Saccharomyces cerevisiae S288C: one gene and its partners. The gene in region 3 interacts genetically with the main gene of each other region. Each region holds a gene or a part of one and is shown on either strand. Other genes may lie near its edges. The genes, in order: RGT1, TUS1, PET122 and JID1.

Region 1 (6,002 bases), on a different chromosome or scaffold from region 3:
TTCCTATGGCGCTTGCATTAATCATATTTTACTACATGATTATTAGATCCATGACAAAAACAGTTATCTATTTGAAAGAGCAAAGGCAGATCGTAAAATTGAACATGTACAAGAAGCTACTATACATCATTTATGCGTCCTTTTTGAGTGTACTAGCTGGTAGTATAGTTTCGTCATTTATTTACGTTGGCATGAACACTATTGATATGATTGAGAAGAACTGGAGGTCAAGGTTCTTCGTTACTGATTTCTGGCCTACGTTAGTGTATTTCATTGTTTTCGTTACCATCGCGTTCTTATGGAGACCAACAGATACTTCATACATGCTAGCCGCATCCCAACAACTACCCACAGACCCAGAAAATGTCGCGGACTTTGACTTGGGCGATTTGCAATCGTTTGACGATCAAGATGACGCAAGTATCATCACTGGTGAGCGTGGCATAGACGAGGATGACCTCAATTTGAATTTTACTGATGATGAAGAAGGACACGATAATGTAAATAACCATAGCCAAGGCCACGGGCCAGTGTCTCCCTCTCCAACAAAATAACGCTACCTCCAGCAGATTTGATTAGGTGATGAGACAAATAGTTTCTTCGAGGGCAGTCACGAAATGTTTACAAGCGAAAAGAAAGAAATTATGAACCATATGCACTTCTGTTCAATGCGATGTGAATATGAATATGAATATAAATATGAATATAAATAAATAAATAAATAAATGCGTTGCACGTTTCTTTTCATTTATTTGTGCGTGCTTTTACCTGTTTATAACTGTAGTCACCAAAGCTATGCTATACTCTAGACCTAACTTTTTCGTTTTGTATTTATTTAGCCGCTCGCTGGAGTTTTTTTTTTTTCGGTGATAAGATGATTTATATCAAACCGAAACAAGCGAAAAGTTTCTGTTCATCGACTATAAAATGGAAGAGAAAATTGGTCCATAGACTTTTCATGTGTACTTGTTTATGAGAAGAGACGCAGGAAGACCAGAAGTGAGGAATTCCCTTTGTTCAAGGATGAACAACGAAGCCAGATAACGTAAGGTTGCGCGCTGCATCAGTGCTAACCTTATTAGCTTTCTCTGGCTTTTTCGGTCTTTCCTATGTAACATAACATGTATATTCTATTTGTTTATGATGAGACCACGTCCTTAGTGACAATGCTATAAACCCAGCTCTTCGATTCGTTTTTAATGAAAGGGAGAAGATTTTTTTGTCAAACGCTCTGAGTAATAGAATATACATGCGACAACATTTGTAGTTACTTGTCTTACGCTTCCTAGGGAACGGATCATCCGAGTAGAATATCATTTTACGGGATCACTTTATTCGGTGTGATTGCTCGTTAAGCCGCACGACCATTTTATGGGCACGCTTCCGCAAGTTGGTTCTTTCATCAGAAGCTTTACCACGATTGGCAAGTCATGTAGCATGTGCGCTAACATCGTTTATCGTTTTCTGTGACGTGGCTTATGAGCACCAGAGACGAATAATCAACAGTACATCAAACAAAAGCTACGTCACCTCACCAATAATCCGAGCTTCTTGAAATGGCAGGTATTGGATTCATAAAATATGTCGCTGCTTTGTGCATTTTCCTTTAGTTTTTTCCTTTTTTTTCATGTAGCTAACTAAGCAAGACGATTATGGGAAGGGACCTTTTAAGGAAAAACAGGAAAAAAAAATAGTAGCAACTAGTAAAAATTCAAAAAATAAAAAAAGTCAAAATAAGAACACATCAGTTAGGAACCGTGCTTGGAGTTTTGAGACTGGAGTATTGTCCATCCAACATATTCTGCTCTTTCACCATAGACTTCGTTGGAAATCGCCTCTCCCTTGTACTATATTGTGCAGAACCGTTCCCGCAATTTTCATTGGTGCAATAATAACACGCTTCTTCGATTCTCACATTTGTCAAGAAGCTGTACTCTTCTCTCAAACTCCAATATATTTCAAATTATGAACGAGCTGAACACTGTTTCGACTAACTCCAGTGACTCCACCAAGAACGGTGGTACATCCAATAGTCCCGACGATATGGACTCCGCAGCAGCAGCAAGTCACGCAATAAAGAAAAGAACAAAGGCCTCCCGGGCCTGCGATCAGTGTCGTAAAAAGAAGATTAAATGTGACTACAAAGATGAAAAGGGGGTCTGCTCAAACTGCCAAAGGAATGGAGACCGTTGTAGTTTTGATAGGGTTCCTTTGAAAAGGGGACCCTCGAAAGGCTATACGAGGAGCACCAGCCATCCAAGGACTAACGAAATACAAGACCACAATAACTCAAGGTCGTATAATACGTTTGATAATAGTAACAATACCCTGAATAATAATACGGGCAATAGCGGCGACAACGGTATAAACAGTAACACAGTTCCAAGTACCCCTTCGAGATCTAATTCAGTTTTATTGCCCCCACTGACACAGTACATTCCCCAGGCTGGTGGCATTCCTCCTAGTTTCCAAAATCCAGCGATACAATCAACTATGCCCGCGGGTAATATTGGCCAACAGCAGTTTTGGAAAGTGCCCTACCATGAGTTTCAACACCAAAGAAAAGGATCTATCGATTCTTTGCAAAGTGATATATCGGTAAGAACATTAAATCCCAACGAGCAGTTGTCTTATAACACCGTTCAACAGTCTCCCATAACGAATAAACATACTAATGATTCTGGAAATGCAAACGGAAGTGTCACCGGCTCAGGCAGTGCCTCTGGTAGTGGTGGTTATTGGTCCTTTATAAGAACTTCTGGTTTACTAGCTCCTACTGATGATCATAATGGGGAACAGACAAGAAGATCAAGTTCCATACCTTCTTTGCTACGAAATACTTCAAATTCTCTTTTACTAGGTGGCCAGCCTCAGCTTCCCCCACCTCAGCAACAATCGCAGCCACAAGCACACCAACAAAAGTTGCAACAAGGACAGAACCTATACTCGTATTCTCAATTTTCCCAGCAGCAACCGTACAACCCATCGATATCATCTTTTGGCCAGTTCGCTGCTAATGGTTTTCATTCTAGACAAGGATCAGTCGCCAGCGAGGCTATGTCTCCCAGTGCACCTGCCATGTTTACTAGCACATCTACAAACCCCGTAAATGTTGCACAGCAAACACAAAGACCTCAAGGACAGCAGGTACCGCAATTTTCATCTGAGTTGGATGGAAATAAAAGGCGACAATCAGCCCCCGTATCAGTAACATTATCCACGGACAGGCTGAATGGTAATGAGAATAATAATGGTGAAATTAACAACAATAATGGCAGCAATAATAGCGGTTCTTCTAAGGATACATCTCAACATTCCCAAGAATCTGTAACTACACCAGCGGCTTTGGAAGCATCCAGCCCTGGATCAACGCCACAGAGAAGTACAAAAAAACGCAGAAAAAGTTACGTATCTAAGAAGACAAAACCAAAGAGAGATTCATCTATATCTATAACATCGAAAGATTCTGCTCACCCAATGACCACTTCATCAACTATCGCGTATGGACAGATATCCGATGTAGATCTAATAGACACCTACTATGAGTTCATACATGTAGGATTTCCGATCATACCTTTAAACAAAACGACCTTGACCAGTGACTTATTGTTAGTTAACACACAGCCAATTTCCAATATACACGAAGTCAATTCATATGTTATTTTGTGGTTTAGAAATTCATTGGAATTGTTAGTTCGTGTTGCTCTGAAACAAAAGCCAGGTGGCAAGTTTTTCGATAATATTGTTGGCGTGGCTTTGTCGCCAAGTAATGACAACAACAAAGCTGGGTTCACTACAGCCACGGCAAGGGATGATGCTGAAAAAACAAGACGTGATTCACATAATGAAGTACAGGATACTTTGGAAGTGCAAAGCGTTTTTATTGCCGCCCTCAATGAATGTTTCCAAAAAATCGTGGATATTCATCCCAAATTCAGAGAAAACAACGACCAAATTTCGCCGAAGATCAAAGTCATTTATTTATCTACTTTTATTCTTTTAAATTACATTTTGGCATTTGTTGGATACGATAACTCATTTGTACTTGGAATGTCGGTGACAATTTTTAACGAATTTAAATTATACAAACTTCTATTATTTCCGGAGCCGGATATAAATGATGTGAAGCCTCCAGTTGATGAAGAGGTCAGCACTGGTAATGGGAATACAAAAACGTCCGAATTTGAAATTGGATCTGAAAGTGCTGGGCATATGAATCCATCCAATTCACCAAATTCCATGGACGAAAACATTAGTCACTATTCAGTGTTGTTTAAAAGATTATACGTTTTGCTTTCAGTGTTTGATTCTTTACAAAGCTGTGCATTCGGTGGTCCCAAGCTATTAAACATTTCCATCCAAGGTTCTACAGAAAGATTTTTTTCTAATGATTTGGGCTCAAAATGGTGCCTGGAACAAAGCCAATTGAGACTGAAAAGCGTCTTGCAAAGCTTGAAATTGGGTGAATTGATGAGTGAGCTTACCAGGAATAGAATATCAATGAACGGCAATAGGAAGCCTGGGTTCGATATTACGAACTCGTCTTCACTCTTATCGGAATATGTGGAAACTCAACCTCTATCCGTAGCACAGTTATTTTGCAAGCTATTAATTGGCAAACACAATTTCATCAATTGCTTATTATCATTATACGATTCAGAAGCAGGAGTCTATTCAGATTTGACATTGGATTTGAGTTCGAAAATAGCAGACTCTCTGTGCTCATTGATATCAATAATTTTGCAAGTATTGACGTTGATATTAAGACTGAATCCTACGAACAGTATTGATTTTAATTATAGACCACCGAACCCACCCGCTAATAATCCGACAGTGCAAGAGGGCCCATCTGCTATGGGCTCGTCTCCAGTCGCTGGGAACCTTAGCGCTGCACCTCCATCGGAGGGGAATCCAGATTTTTACAAGAAATTACTAGGCCTGAAACAAGACACTGGCACTATCCTTTCAGACCTTTGCCGGGGGATAATTTCCCCCTTTGCTATTGCTATCCTGCACGAGGTCTACAACATCACTGAACTGGTCAAGCAGATGCCTACATCACTCATTAGCATTATGATGACGGCAACTACAACGCAGAATACTCAGGACACCAAGAAGTCGCAGGACCTGGTCATGAAGCTGTCAAACTCGATGAATGAAGTAGTTCAAATCACCAGCGTGCTGACAATGATCAAGCCATTCAAGATCTTCGAGCACGAGCTTAATAAGCCCATAATGTCCCTGACAGGAGGACTTTCGTCCACGACCAGAAACGACGTCATGTGGCCAAAGTCGGGCCAAGGCCTCCGCGAGTCATCAGTCATGAAGACATTGCTTGATGAACGCCGTACTTCTGGTACACAACCGACAACGGCGCCAGTAGCCGCAGAGGAACCCAGGCTTGAGAACGTTGCCCTGGAAAATTTCGTTAGTATCGGCTGGAAGCTGTTGGACGATTCCGAGTTAGGCTGGTATTGACAGGTAACTATGCTCCCTTCTCCTGTAGGTCAGGTTCTCCCTTCTCCTCAGGCAGAAATTCGCGTAAAGAACTACCATGCAATGAATGACCAATTTAAGTAAAACACATAAATAATACTTACTTACACATATACACACTAGCTGTTTTAACCTGTAACAATACTGCCTTGTCAGAGTGCGCACGGCCTTTTACTCTGGTGCTCCACCATCTTCCACGGTATTCGAGAGTCGCCAAGCTCAGGGGCGCATGCAGACAATGGGCGGGGAGCACCTTCTTCTTTCACAGCTAAAGGGGTCTTTCTTTCTCCTACTTTTGGCATACTTTTTCAGGGGCAGAAGTCCTTATTACGCACGTTGCTACCGCCGGCTTGCTGTTACACCTGGTGCCATCACTATTGCCATTGCCATTGCTACAGATTCAATTCCGGCGCTTGCAAAGTCCAAAGTTCTGGTGTCGGTTTGTTCTCACACAGATCCCTGTACAGCGTCTTGTAACCTGATCCCCTTCCCCCGCCCCTTCTCGA
Region 2 (6,480 bases), on a different chromosome or scaffold from region 3:
ATTTAACCCATGTAGAAAAGTTTTCTTCTGATGTTAAAGTGTGTGGTGGTAAGACATTATTTCTCACCTTTGTCTTAGCTTGAGGTACTTCAGAGTGTTGATCCTGTGAATCGATTGGATCAGGTGAGGAAGTACTCAGCGGTGGGATATACTGTGGCAGCGGATAGTGTGGGTCCGGTTGATAATACGCAGGTGACGTTTGATAATGTGAACACGTCATCATAGATGGTTGTTGGTAATGTGCCCAGTTAGAAGCCATAGCTTTGTTTGGGGTCATCATGCCGTGCTGTTGGTACTGTCCATTCTGTGGAGGTGGTACTGAAGCAGGTTGAGGAGAGACATGATGATGGTTCTCTGGAACAGCTGATGTCCCAGGTGTTGTCTCTTCTTGAGAATTAACCTTAGTGGAATCTCTATCAAATTCCGGTAAATTGGAAGCTGAAACGGCTAACGGATCTTGATTTGATGGGACTTCCTTAGAAGTAACCGAAGCATAGGCGCTACCATGTAGAGAATGTGGATTTTGATGTAATTGTTGGGATTCCATTGTGATTAAGGCTATAATATTAGGTATGTAGATATACTAGAAGTTCTCCTCAAGGATTTAGGAATCCATAAAAGGGAATCTGCAATTCTACACAATTCTATAAATATTATTATCATCGTTTTATATGTTAATATTCATTGATCCTATTACATTATCAATCCTTGCGTTTCAGCTTCCACTAATTTAGATGACTATTTCTCATCATTTGCGTCATCTTCTAACACCGTATATGATAATATACTAGTAACGTAAATACTAGTTAGTAGATGATAGTTGATTTTTATTCCAACAGGTTCACACGAAGATTGAAAGTGTGGCCACGCTAATTTAGTTTATTAGGGAAATGCTCCTGGTCAGTTCTAATTCACCCAACGTAGCGCGGAATATTTTAAAGTTAATATAGTATTTCGATATGACAAGCACCTCTAAACAAAAGGTTATTTTCGCTTTTGTTCATTGAGCGTGTACTTCAAGCCTGATCCTGCTTTTTCTTCTGATTTGATCTGATTCGATTAAGCAAGCGGTACTACCCTAAAACCGCCATCTGTTGTAATATAGTAACGTCGCAATAAACCTGTCATATAATTAGCAGCTAATCCTTATATTCCATCTCCTCAATTTGTGATATTTATCGTATATAATTCCCATTTCAGACCGTCATTTAGTAGTAGGCATCTAACTATGGAACGGCTTTACCCGATCTTGGTATGTATGCCATAATGTACTACCGCTATCGATTTACCTTAACCCTAACGAGTGTCTCTAGCCAGTATTTTAAACTTCCATATCACAACTAATGTTGAAGATTGTATAATAAAAACATCAAGCTATTTAATAGATGCGATTAATCTCCTAATCGAAAACAGTTTGTTCGGTGTCCAAATACTGTTTTAGTGGACTATGATAAACGTTATAACAGCTATTTTGACTAAAACAACCGTAAATTTACACAGATAGGTGTTCACAGTAATTTTTTGGGGAGTTAGGTCGAAATCTTTTCCAAAACCAGTCATGCAAAGGAAATGCGTCAACTTTTGGGGACTTTTCCCCTACTCAAACACAGTTAGTCAACATTTAAAGGTTGTGTCTTTACTTAAGAGAAAATTAACTGAGCTTCGGTCATACATACGTAATTTCGCTGCTTCCAGTCGAGCAGTTGGTGCGCTATAATCATTTGATGTTTTTAGCTTACGGCTTCTTAAGATTTTCTATTGTTCATACTGACTCGTCGCATAGGCCGCAATATAAATCATTTAGAGAAAACGTTAACACATCGTTTAGGTAAACAACCCCTAGAGAGGATGATCAGTACGCAATATAACTGTTCAAAATCCATTTCTTGCATCAATATTTTATTCAACTATTATTTCTGGAGGTTTTAGTGGTTCTGTATACCCCCTCCAGCCACTGTTATGAACAATTAATTGATACTACTTCGAATATAAACATTAAAACAAAAAACTTATTGAGTGCAGCAAGTTAACATGTATCGATATAATAGAAGTTCCCCTTTTGAACGAACACCAGAAAAACGAGTAAGCCGTCAAGAAAGCCAACGAAAGAGCATCGAATTGCCCAAACTGCCACCATTGAATACGAGGAACTCCTTTTTGGATGATTCTGATAACGGAACAGATAATATCTCAATTGGCTGGACACCAATCAGTGACACCCAGCAATTCCAAAGCCCGGTCCCTCAGGCTTTTACCTTTACATCAAAACATAGTGCAAGGGGAAACGGTACTAGCTCTTCAGAATCCACACCCAAATCGACAAAGTACGTCAAAGAAAGACGACCACCACCACCGCCACCCCTTTTGTATTCCACTGAATCAATACGGATAGACTCACCCATGGTATCTCCCAGTTCTCAGTCCCGGGAAAGATCACCTAATAAACTATCCTTTATAGGAAACTCAGAGGAACGACATCACATGGAATACATATCTAACCATTCCAGGATCTTAAAATCACCATTTGCGAACGGATTTAGTCCAAATTCCCCTAAATCTCCAAGAGATAGTAGCAAACAGCAGGCTCACTTCTCTGATGAATCAGATCTACGGTGTCATGAAAGAGAAAAAGCTTTACCCCCAATTCCTTTCACTACTACTCTTCTGCTATCTCCTTTTGATGATGAAGACTCAGAATTTTTTACGAAACCACCACCGCCTCTATCAACATCTAGAAACGTAAGTGGGAATAGCCGAGTATCAGAAGCCCTAGAAAGTGTTTATTCTGACTCAGATTATACTTTTAATAACTCAAATGCCAGGCAAAGTAGTTTTAACTCTTTACTAGGAGCCAAGCCATTAGAATTAGCACCAAGCATTACTGCACCGACACAACCATTTTCAATTCAATCTATCGATGAGCACAAGCTTTATCAATGTGATAATGTTTACAAACTTTCTGCTATTTATGAGTGGATTTTGAAAGTTTATTTTGAATGGTTTAATGAATGTGTCTTCACGAAAATCGATCTTTTCCAAATTGTTCAATTACTTTTAGAGTTTCAAATGCCTACAAATTTCGATCAAGATACGATAGACTCAAATGTGGATAATATTATGGCTTCGTTTATTTCCCAGAAAGCAGTAAGATTCGATATCATTAACGATGAAGAGGTAGCCGTAGTTGTGGGAGGGCTGGATATTACTGGTGTTTTCACCGAACTACTACCGTGCTATTCATTCATCGATAATACTTATGGATCTACAAACTCCCTGATTTGTTATTCCAACGTTTGCACACATGGCCAAAGCTCTGGCTTCAGAAAAGAAATAAAACTTTCCGAAATCATAAATAAATCAGTTGGACTTTGGACAGAATACTGGCACTTGACTCCAGATGATTTAGCAGAAATTAATCCCCGTGAAGTACAAAGACAAAGCTTTATATTTGACTTAATTATTTTAGAAGAAAGATCCTTAAACATGGCTACTGCCGCGGTAGAAATCTATGGGAAACGGTTTGACAAATCCCTACTTCCAGATGAGCCTGAGTTCAAGGCATTGGCATTTGATATCTTCGAACCTCTAATACAATTACATACCGAATTTCTTTTGACGCCAATATTTTGGAAATTAAAAACGAGAGGTAAGTTTATTGATGGCGTTGGAAAAATCTATTCAAAATGGTGTGGTGAAGCCAAGAATATATATTTGAATTACGCGAAAGCTATGGCAACGGTACACGAAATCATAATGTGGGAGAAGAAAAACAAGACGAAATTTGTAACATGGCTTAAGGAGATTGATAACTCGGTTGAAATTACAAGATCGAAGATGTATCATGATGTTATATTCTTTGGGGGGTTTTTCAAATCTTTACAAAACATGCCCGTAACTCTGCGCTCAATTTTGAAGAACACGGATCCTTCCATGGAGGATTATGAATACCTGAAAATAGTAATTAAGGAAGTAGAAAAGTTGAACTTTGAAGTTAATCAGGTACATGGATTAGCAATTGACCATAGGAAACTAGTAAGGTTTTCGAAACAATTAGTATTAAGTACTAATAGTAGTAATGCAACAAGCTATGTGAACGTCGGTGGTAGTACTAACGCAAATGACGATGATGCAATTCAGGATAAACTAGCTCTTGGTTTAACTTATCCGGAAAGGAAGTTAGTACTATCTGGCACTGTTTATAAAAAGAGGGATTTATGGCTGGACCCAACCCCAGTGTATATCGCATTATTGGACAATTGCTTACTGATTACAGAGGAAATAAGTAAAGGAGAAACTCAAAAATATAAGCTTATTGAAAGACCTATCCCAATAGATTATTTAAGTCTCGAGAAAAGGAAAATTCCAGGAACAAGTAAACAGCCTCTGAGAAACTACTCTCAGAAAGAACATAAATCCCCAATGCATAATTTTTCGACACCGATTAACTCCATGAGACCTCTGCTTAAAAGTTCTGGAAATCACATGTCAACAGCGTATGGAGATAGAAAGACTAGTAATACTGAAATTTCTAACGCGAATCCAAACACAGACGAGTTCTCATTTAAGATCAGAAATACAGCCACAGGTGAATCGTTCAAATTTTTTACAGAAAGTGCAGAAGTACTCAACCAATGGATTGATGCTATCATGGAATCTTTTAAAAGAAATGCAGAAAATCATGATTTAAATGCCTTTGAATTTACAGTGTTGAGCTCTGAGTTCGCATACTTCGACAAGGATGCACCGGTGAATCTACCTGTAGCTCCGGAAGGATCAGAAATTGATGTAGCACTCAAAGCTTACGCTCAAAAAGCAAACAAAGATTCATGTTCATGGAGTAAGACAACACGGATTCTTTGTTGTGAAGATGTTAAATTCGAGGGCAGAATTTACCTATTTGTGGCTACAACAGACGGTATCTATGTGAAATATAGAGACGATTATGGTAGTGGTTTCGTTAAAATATTAGAATTAAACGACGTCAAAAGAATGGAAGCCAATGTTAAGTTGGGGCTCTTGTTTGTATTGGATAACAGAAAGTTGTGCTATTTTAATATCTCAACGGTAGTGAGCCGTTACCTAGCGCAAGGAAACACTCTAGATGAAAACTGCATTGTGGGAACAGTAATCAGAGATAAGGTGAGATTCTTCAAAATTGCTGATGATTTTGGTAACTCAAAACATTTATTTTTTGAAAGAAAGGGGAAGATAGTTATATTAACACCAGAATTTGATCAATTGACAAACCAAGTAAAATATTTCAAATTTTACAAAGAGTATAAGCTCCCAAGTTCAAGTAATAACATTCTGAATAACGAAATTGAGGATATTGCCATATTCAGGAAAAGTTTTGCTGTGTGTACAAAGAAAACAGTCATACTTTATCAAGATTCATTCGAGGATAACGGAATAGTCTTACCATCTTTTTTGAATGATAAAGATATGATGGCACACTTGAGGCATCCACATTTGAATAGCTTACCGTTCAAAAGTGCTACAGACTCCAAGAAACGCCCCTCCATAGAATCTCTCACTGAAGAAGCAAAAAAGGATATCGCCACTTGCAAAGCTATACCGGTCAATTTTTTTCAAATATCACAATCTAGTTTTTTTGCCTTGGTTTATGATGAAGCCGTAGTGAAAATAAACTGCTACGGTGAGATGTCTGATTGGAGAAAGGATATTCTCTTACTTGATTTTTGTTGTACCGGCGCGAGCTTCCATGGTAATCATTTGATTCTCGTTGGCGACAATTTGATACAGATTTACGACTTAAAAAATGTTGAGCAGAACCTAGGCGAATTGGTTCCCGTCCAGATCATAAAAGGAAAGAAGATAAAGCTGGCTAGTTCAGAAAGGAGAGAGAAAACAATTCTTGTGTTAAGTCATCCAAATATACTTAATAGACAATTATTAGTCGCGTGCAATCCTGTAGCAATGGCAGATCATCAATAATATAAGATATAGACACTTTTAATGGTAAATATCGTTGTAATAATATAAGCCAACAAGAATATAGTCCAGTAATTATGCTATTTGCAGTAACTCACATCATTATTCTCTCTGTTCATATAATCCTGAATAACAGGTTACCCTCGGAAGTGCATTTAGCCGTATAACAAGTAGCTCTTTAAAATCAGTAGAACAGATACATTAATATGTGATAATACGGCTGTGAGGAAAAGGTGAAGTTCTGGTGATGAATATAGACTGTTTGTGTCGTTGGGTAGTTCTGCCACTGCTGCGCTATCCACTTCTGGTAGCTCTTGTATTGAGATGGTATGTAAAGTAGAAAATAGGCATGAGGTTAGAAACAGCGTTTTTTATACTAACATGACGAACTAACCTAGGTCTCTAAGCGACTCGATAAGCATTTGTCTAACAATCTATACACTACTGATAAATGCATTCCTCATTGCTAATTCCTATATAAAGCGGTCGGGACAGGTCGCCTGGAAGAGCCTTCGTGAATTTAAGAAT
Region 3 (3,256 bases):
TGGGGCTGCGGCTCCGCCTCGTGCTGCTCAAGGGCAGAAATCAACGACTCGAAATCAATCGAGTCGTGGCCCTGCTCGTTGATGGCGGTCATTTTCCCCTTGAATCCCGCATCTGTGAAGCAATTGTTGATCAAGAAATATGTTGGCGTGATGATGAACGCCTGCCTGGTATACCCGTTATGTGGCAAGGTTGTTTGCAGAAGGATGTTCAGCATGCCATACGAAGCGCCGCTATTCAGATTCAAATAGTCTGCCCGTGTCCTGCTCCGAGCCCCATTTTCGAACTTAAACAGCTGATCATTCAGAAACGTACAAATCTGCTCTCGCACCCACAGGGCACCTTCGTCCGAACCGTACGTCAGCGGATGCCTGTTATAGGGGTCGTTATCGTACTCCCTGGTCTCGGGCCCCAATATAGCCGCAGTCGCTTGAATTACTGCTTCTCGAGGCAGCAACCTCGAGCTCGGATGGCCCTTGAAGAAATTGATTTCCTTGTATTTCATTACCGCTTGCTAGCACGCGTTGTTCCTTGTTACAGCGATGCTCCACCCAGATTTATGTGTTGATTTCAAATCCTCTTCTCTTTATCACTAGTTCGGCATCCAGCAGCGGCAGCCCGCGATAACTTTGACGGAACTCCGCCAGCACACGTCGCGCCTGCGCTGGGCCGGGAACATGCCAAAGGACACCAGCCAGTAGTAGCGGTAGTGACCATTCGTTCTTTATCACTAGGGGCTGTCGTCCAAACAACGCCAGGGCAGCTGCTTGCTCATCTTGCTGCATCAATGCTATGCCCATAGCCTTGGTCATTTGCGGGAAGTCGCGCAGCCTTAATGGCGGCTGCCCTGGTAGCGTATCCATCTCCTGCAAGAATACCTTCCACTTTTCCCTGAGCGCCGTGGAGTGCATTGTGCCACGCGCAAACGCTTCGACTTTAATCCGTCTAAGCTCATACTCAATCAGTTCATCTTCTGGGCTGGTGCGACGATCGCGATTCATCGCCTGGTAGTGCTGGAGGAACTGCGCGGGTAAGAAGAGCCTGTCCTGGTACAATGCTACGCCAGCCATTTCACATAGCAGGCGGCCCTCTACTGGCAACCGGCGTGGCATCACATGCTGATACCACATGTATGCTATAGTGTCGGCATGGGCAAGCGCAGCGGCTCGCGCTAGCATCGTGTGCAGCAGCTCCACATCCACGCTGGTCTGCTGCTGCTGACGCAGCAGCGCCAGTGCATCGGACATTTTCCCGTTTAAACTGCTTAACAGTATTCGCGACCGCACATCGGTGGTCACCAGTCTTTTCGTGATAGTCAACATGACGTGTTCCGTTCTTATGTTCGAGCTAATGCCTCGTCTGCTCTTCCACGTTCAGATGTTCCCTTGATTGCTCAAAACACTCTCAGCAGGCCGAGATTTCGATTTTAGCCAGCAGTACGGAAGTAATCCGAGCCATGAAAAATTTAACCAGTGGCTCGCCCTCTATACGTATCTGTTCACGTACAAGCGGAGCCACAGAATAACCTCCCCGACGATGTTCAAACTCACCTCTCGACTCGTCACGTCAAGGTTTGCTGCCTCTTCCAGACTGGCCACCGCTCGAACCATAGTATTGCCCCGGCCCCATCCGTCATGGATCTCTTTTCAGGCCAAAAGATTTAATTCGACGGGCCCAAATGCCAACGATGTCTCGGAAATCCAAACCCAGTTGCCTTCCATCGATGAATTAACCTCTTCAGCTCCTTCTCTTTCCGCTTCTACTTCGGACCTTATCGCTAACACGACCCAAACAGTGGGCGAGTTGTCCTCCCATATAGGGTACTTAAATAGCATTGGCCTGGCCCAAACCTGGTACTGGCCCTCGGACATTATCCAACACGTCTTGGAGGCCGTTCATGTTTACTCTGGGTTGCCTTGGTGGGGAACTATCGCGGCCACCACCATCCTCATTCGATGCCTGATGTTTCCCCTCTATGTCAAGTCCTCTGATACTGTTGCTAGAAATTCCCATATCAAGCCCGAGCTGGACGCCTTGAATAATAAGCTAATGTCCACTACAGATTTGCAACAAGGTCAGCTAGTCGCCATGCAAAGGAAAAAACTGCTCTCCTCGCACGGCATTAAGAACAGATGGCTGGCCGCACCCATGCTACAAATTCCAATCGCCCTTGGGTTTTTCAACGCATTGAGACACATGGCTAACTACCCAGTAGATGGGTTCGCTAATCAAGGTGTCGCTTGGTTTACAGACTTGACTCAAGCAGACCCTTACTTAGGTTTGCAAGTAATCACTGCCGCTGTGTTCATCTCATTTACAAGGCTGGGGGGTGAGACTGGTGCTCAACAATTCAGTTCTCCCATGAAGCGTCTTTTCACTATTCTACCGATCATTTCTATACCGGCCACAATGAACTTATCGTCCGCTGTGGTCCTCTACTTTGCCTTTAATGGTGCCTTCTCCGTCCTACAGACAATGATTTTGAGAAACAAATGGGTTCGTTCGAAACTGAAGATAACAGAAGTAGCTAAACCAAGGACTCCTATCGCTGGCGCTTCCCCCACAGAGAACATGGGCATCTTCCAATCATTAAAACATAACATTCAAAAGGCAAGAGATCAGGCGGAAAGAAGGCAATTGATGCAAGATAATGAGAAGAAGTTACAAGAAAGCTTCAAGGAGAAGAGGCAGAATTCCAAAATCAAAATTGTTCACAAATCAAACTTCATTAATAACAAAAAATGAATAAAGGCTCTATATCTCTCTGTAAATATAAAAATATAAAACTCAAACCCTCGATAGGCGGGACCAAATTTTTTCTCTCTCAGCAGTGGATTGTATACATTTACCACGAAAATTGTTTATTGCTTGAAATAATCATTTGGATTCTTAATAAAATCTTGCAGGATTGTCTGAACTGCACCTAATCTGGACCCCATGCTGTTGGCTAAGTCTTCTTGGTTTATAAAACTCATGGAAAATACAATAGCCAAGTTTGATGCGTCCATTTTATTATTTACAACATGCTGATGTACTTTATTCAAATGAAATACAATTCTTTTCAAAGTTTGGTAATAGCATGTAGGTAACTTTTGGAGTAACTCATTCATCATTCTCTTGTATTCTTCATTTACCATTGCATGTGCTTTATACTTAATCGCCAAATCGGTAAAGTCGTTCACCATAGCATGAGAAAATAAAGAATCTGGTAACTCTCTTAAATACATCTTAAAACAGCCTGCGATCGCATTCACTTCA
Region 4 (3,287 bases), on a different chromosome or scaffold from region 3:
AAGCAATATTTGCAGGTTGAATGTAGGTCAACTGCATACTGGGAAGCGTTTTCTGACCGCTTCGGAAGCGTGAGCGGTCCGTCTCTTACAACTCGTTTGGAGCTACATGGTGAGACAACATTGGCGCGCACGCCAATGTTGTCCTTCTCAATGGCCATGCAAACACTGCTATTTTATCGATAACTGTTGTGATCTTGGCTTAGTTCTTGTGCTTTTTACACCCCGCAGTAGCGCTAGTTGTATGATTGCGGTTATCTGTCGCTTCTGTTCTCGTAACGCGCAACATGGAAGAAAAAATACTGAAAAATAATTTTAACAAAAGCTTGAGCAGAATGGGCATGGTACAACATCCATAGGCAAAAAAAAGGAATACATATACTCCGCTGCTACCTCCTCAACTAAACAATGACTTTGAATAACGTTGCAAGGCCCGACCTTTGTGTTTCGTATGTTTTTCACCGACAATTTTCTTTCAAATTTGCTGATATTGCCAATATATACTAACAGTTCAACCGCTCCCTTTCTACCACAGGTACAAGAAAATTGCGCCACCAAAAGGACTATATTCTGCCACACCAAGCATATCTGGTGTGGTTAACCAATCCATGCCTATGGCCGCTATTTTCTTGAGGAACAAGTTCATTGCCTGGTTCTCCCTGATTCAGAGTGTACACTACTACCTGAACACCGACGAAGACATCATCGTTGCCTATAAGGAAAATAAGGCACCATCTCCAATGGACCAGCCTCCTGCAATCAAGCTATTCATGAGTTTAATCGGGTTATGCGTGTGTTACATGAACTTAGTTTTCCCTCAACAAATAGCTCAACCATCGTCTAGCGGCTCTAAAGGTAATACTGAAACGACAATTGAGACAACTACCGAAGTAGAGACGGAAACAGCTAAGCAGTAGGCTTATCCTATCCTCTATTTCCGCCCTGCCCCATCAAAAGGAAGGAAAAAATAGTAAATACGGGACTTCCTGTGTCGTTTTTTCATTTCCTAGGTTTTTTTCAAGTCTTCCCTAGTAGTGTATGCACAAATATATAAAATTAAATACGTAAATACAGCGTGCTGCGTGCTCTACTCACCAATATCTTCAAACCAATCCTGAGGTCTTTCATCGATAAATTGTTTCATGATCTTTTTACACCTCTCATCGTCAACAACAACAACCTCGTGACCTCTAGTTTGTAAATATTTCTCGCCCTTACTTTTGAAATTAACGTTCTCACCGACAACACAGCGTGGAATACCATACATGATGATGGCACCTGTACACATGTCGCATGGAGACAGCGTCGTATACAAAGTGGTATCTTTGTACACTTTGCCCTCTAATCTCCCACAGTTTTCCAAAGTGGAGATCTCACCATGTAGTGTGGCGGATCCCTTTTGAAATCTCATGTTGTGACCACGACCGAGAACACTTCCGTCTTTGTTATTGATAAGACATCCGCCAATAGGAACACCACCCTCTTTGTAACCTAAGGCCGCCTCCTCATAGGCAATGTCCATACCCTTCTGATCCCACTTGCTTGCCATTCCCCCTGTCACCATTAGCTATGAAATTTTTAACTCTTTAAGCTGGCTCTCATCAACATAAAACAATGGCTTGTAGATCTCATTGTCGAATTGAAAATGAACTTTTTAATTTCGCAAAAAAAAAAAGAAAAGTTCAGGGTCTCCGGGTACTACCGCCCCTGCAAGGAATGACCGGTGATAATGGAAGAGAAGATATTACAGCGACAGTATAATTAACAAACACGTTGTGTCTTTAGGCTCGTAACTAACTGTACGTATATCTACACACCATAGGTCACTACTTGCAATATATTTGTTATGCTACACCATAAGTTCGTATACCCATTTTTATTCAAGTGGCACTTATCATGTGTAGAAAAGTGTCCCCCACAAATCACTTTTATAGCTAAGTATGCTACAGCGAACGATAAAAATGGCAATAGAAAACTTACGATAAGGGATGAACAATGGCCTGAGTTGGCAGATCCAACTCCCTATGATATTTTTGGCATTCCAAAGGCCGGATCTGGAAATCCTAAACTGGACAAGAAGTCGTTAAAAAAAAAATATCATCGTTATGTAAAATTGTACCACCCTGACCATTCCGATAACATTCAAATATTTAGCTCAGAAAAGGTTACCAACAGTGATAGTAAATCACCGCTGCTGCTAACATCAAGCGAAAAACTACATAGATTTAAAGTCATCTCTCAAGCATATGATATTCTTTGTGACCCAAAGAAAAAGATCGTATATGACACAACGAGGCAAGGCTGGACCACATCGTATTCACCACGTTCTAACGTTAATACTGAAAATTACCAATATGCCGGCTCTTATGGCTACCACTCTAACGCGCAGTATGAATACTGGAACGCTGGGACTTGGGAAGACGCAAATAGCATGAAAAACGAAAGAATTCAAGAAAACATCAACCCATGGACCGTTATTGGCATAATTTGTGGCCTAGCTATATGCATCGAAGGGACTGCGTTGTTAGCCAAAATCCAGGAGTCTCTGAGCAAGGCCGAATTTACTCATGACGAAAGTGGATTACATTTGATTCAGTCATACACGAATTATGGTCTTGATACTGACAAATTTTCCAGATTGAGGCGGTTCTTATGGTTTAGAACTTGGGGACTTTACAAGTCGAAAGAGGATTTAGATAGAGAAGCCAAGATCAATGAAGAAATGATACGCAAACTGAAAGCAGCTAAATGAAATCACCTATTGCGCCGCTCGCGGAATACAATTACTAAATTTTATATATATTCTTTAAAAATGCATCTATACATTCGTTTTTCCACGTATACCAAATTCGAAAAAAGTTGTTAAACCATCGTTTTCACGTTTTTTAATTTTTTTTTGGTTCTCTTTTTTTTTTTTTTTCAATATCAACTTTTTTTCAAACTTCGTGTTGCATTTCCTTTATCGTAAATTTTCAATGGATCTCTATAATCTTCGAAGTTCGAAGAAAAGAAGAAAAAAAGTATTGAAAAGTTGAAACATCGATTCCGTTTTGCTAACAAATAGCACTCAGCATCCTGCATAAAATTGGTATAAGATATGGATTTCACAAAACCAGAAACTGTTTTAAATCTACAAAATATTAGAGATGAATTAGTTAGAATGGAGGATTCGATCATCTTCAAATTTATTGAGAGGTCGCATTTCGCCACATGTCCTTCAGTTTATGAGGCAAACCATCCAGGTTTAGAAATTCCGAATTTTAAAGGATCTTTCTTGGATTGGGCTCTTT

What was found.
Region 1: mutations in PET122 (region 3) and RGT1 together harm fitness more than expected from each alone (negative genetic interaction), as found in Saccharomyces cerevisiae (2 studies listed by BioGRID).
Region 2: mutations in PET122 (region 3) and TUS1 are lethal when combined (synthetic lethality), as found in Saccharomyces cerevisiae (2 studies listed by BioGRID, with this or other methods).
Region 4: mutations in PET122 (region 3) and JID1 together harm fitness more than expected from each alone (negative genetic interaction), as found in Saccharomyces cerevisiae (2 studies listed by BioGRID).

Annotation. Positions count from the first base shown.
Region 1 is NC_001143.9:363,640-369,641, forward strand, and holds RGT1 (Rgt1p), read left to right. Parts: upstream 1-1,965; coding exon 1,966-5,478; downstream 5,479-6,002. Other genes in the region: PTM1 (Ptm1p), read left to right, coding at 1-554; AIM26 (Aim26p), read left to right, coding at 5,726-6,002. UniProt on the Saccharomyces cerevisiae protein: Glucose-responsive transcription factor that regulates expression of several glucose transporter (HXT) genes in response to glucose.
Region 2 is NC_001144.5:980,863-987,342, forward strand, and holds TUS1 (Rho family guanine nucleotide exchange factor TUS1), read left to right. Parts: upstream 1-2,031; coding exon 2,032-5,955; downstream 5,956-6,480. Other genes in the region: TDA5 (Tda5p), read left to right, coding at 6,200-6,279, 6,351-6,480. UniProt on the Saccharomyces cerevisiae protein: Guanine nucleotide-exchange factor (GEF) for RHO1 that stimulates the exchange of RHO1 GDP-bound form into GTP-bound form. Required for signaling of cell wall defects to RHO1.
Region 3 is NC_001137.3:473,486-476,741, forward strand, and holds PET122 (Pet122p), read right to left. Parts: upstream 1,321-3,256; coding exon 556-1,320; downstream 1-555. Other genes in the region: YER152C (2-aminoadipate transaminase), read right to left, coding at 1-503; membrane insertase OXA1, read left to right, coding at 1,535-2,743; GTPase-activating protein BEM2, read right to left, coding at 2,860-3,256. UniProt on the Saccharomyces cerevisiae protein: Required for expression of the mitochondrial gene for cytochrome c oxidase subunit 3 (COX3). PET122 seems to work by directly interacting with the small ribosomal subunit to promote translation initiation on the COX3 mRNA.
Region 4 is NC_001148.4:675,439-678,725, reverse strand, and holds JID1 (Jid1p), read left to right. Parts: upstream 1-1,843; coding exon 1,844-2,749; downstream 2,750-3,287. Other genes in the region: YPR063C (uncharacterized protein), read left to right, coding at 406-446, 533-914; FCY1 (cytosine deaminase), read right to left, coding at 1,085-1,561; chorismate mutase ARO7, read left to right, coding at 3,095-3,287. UniProt on the Saccharomyces cerevisiae protein: Probable chaperone.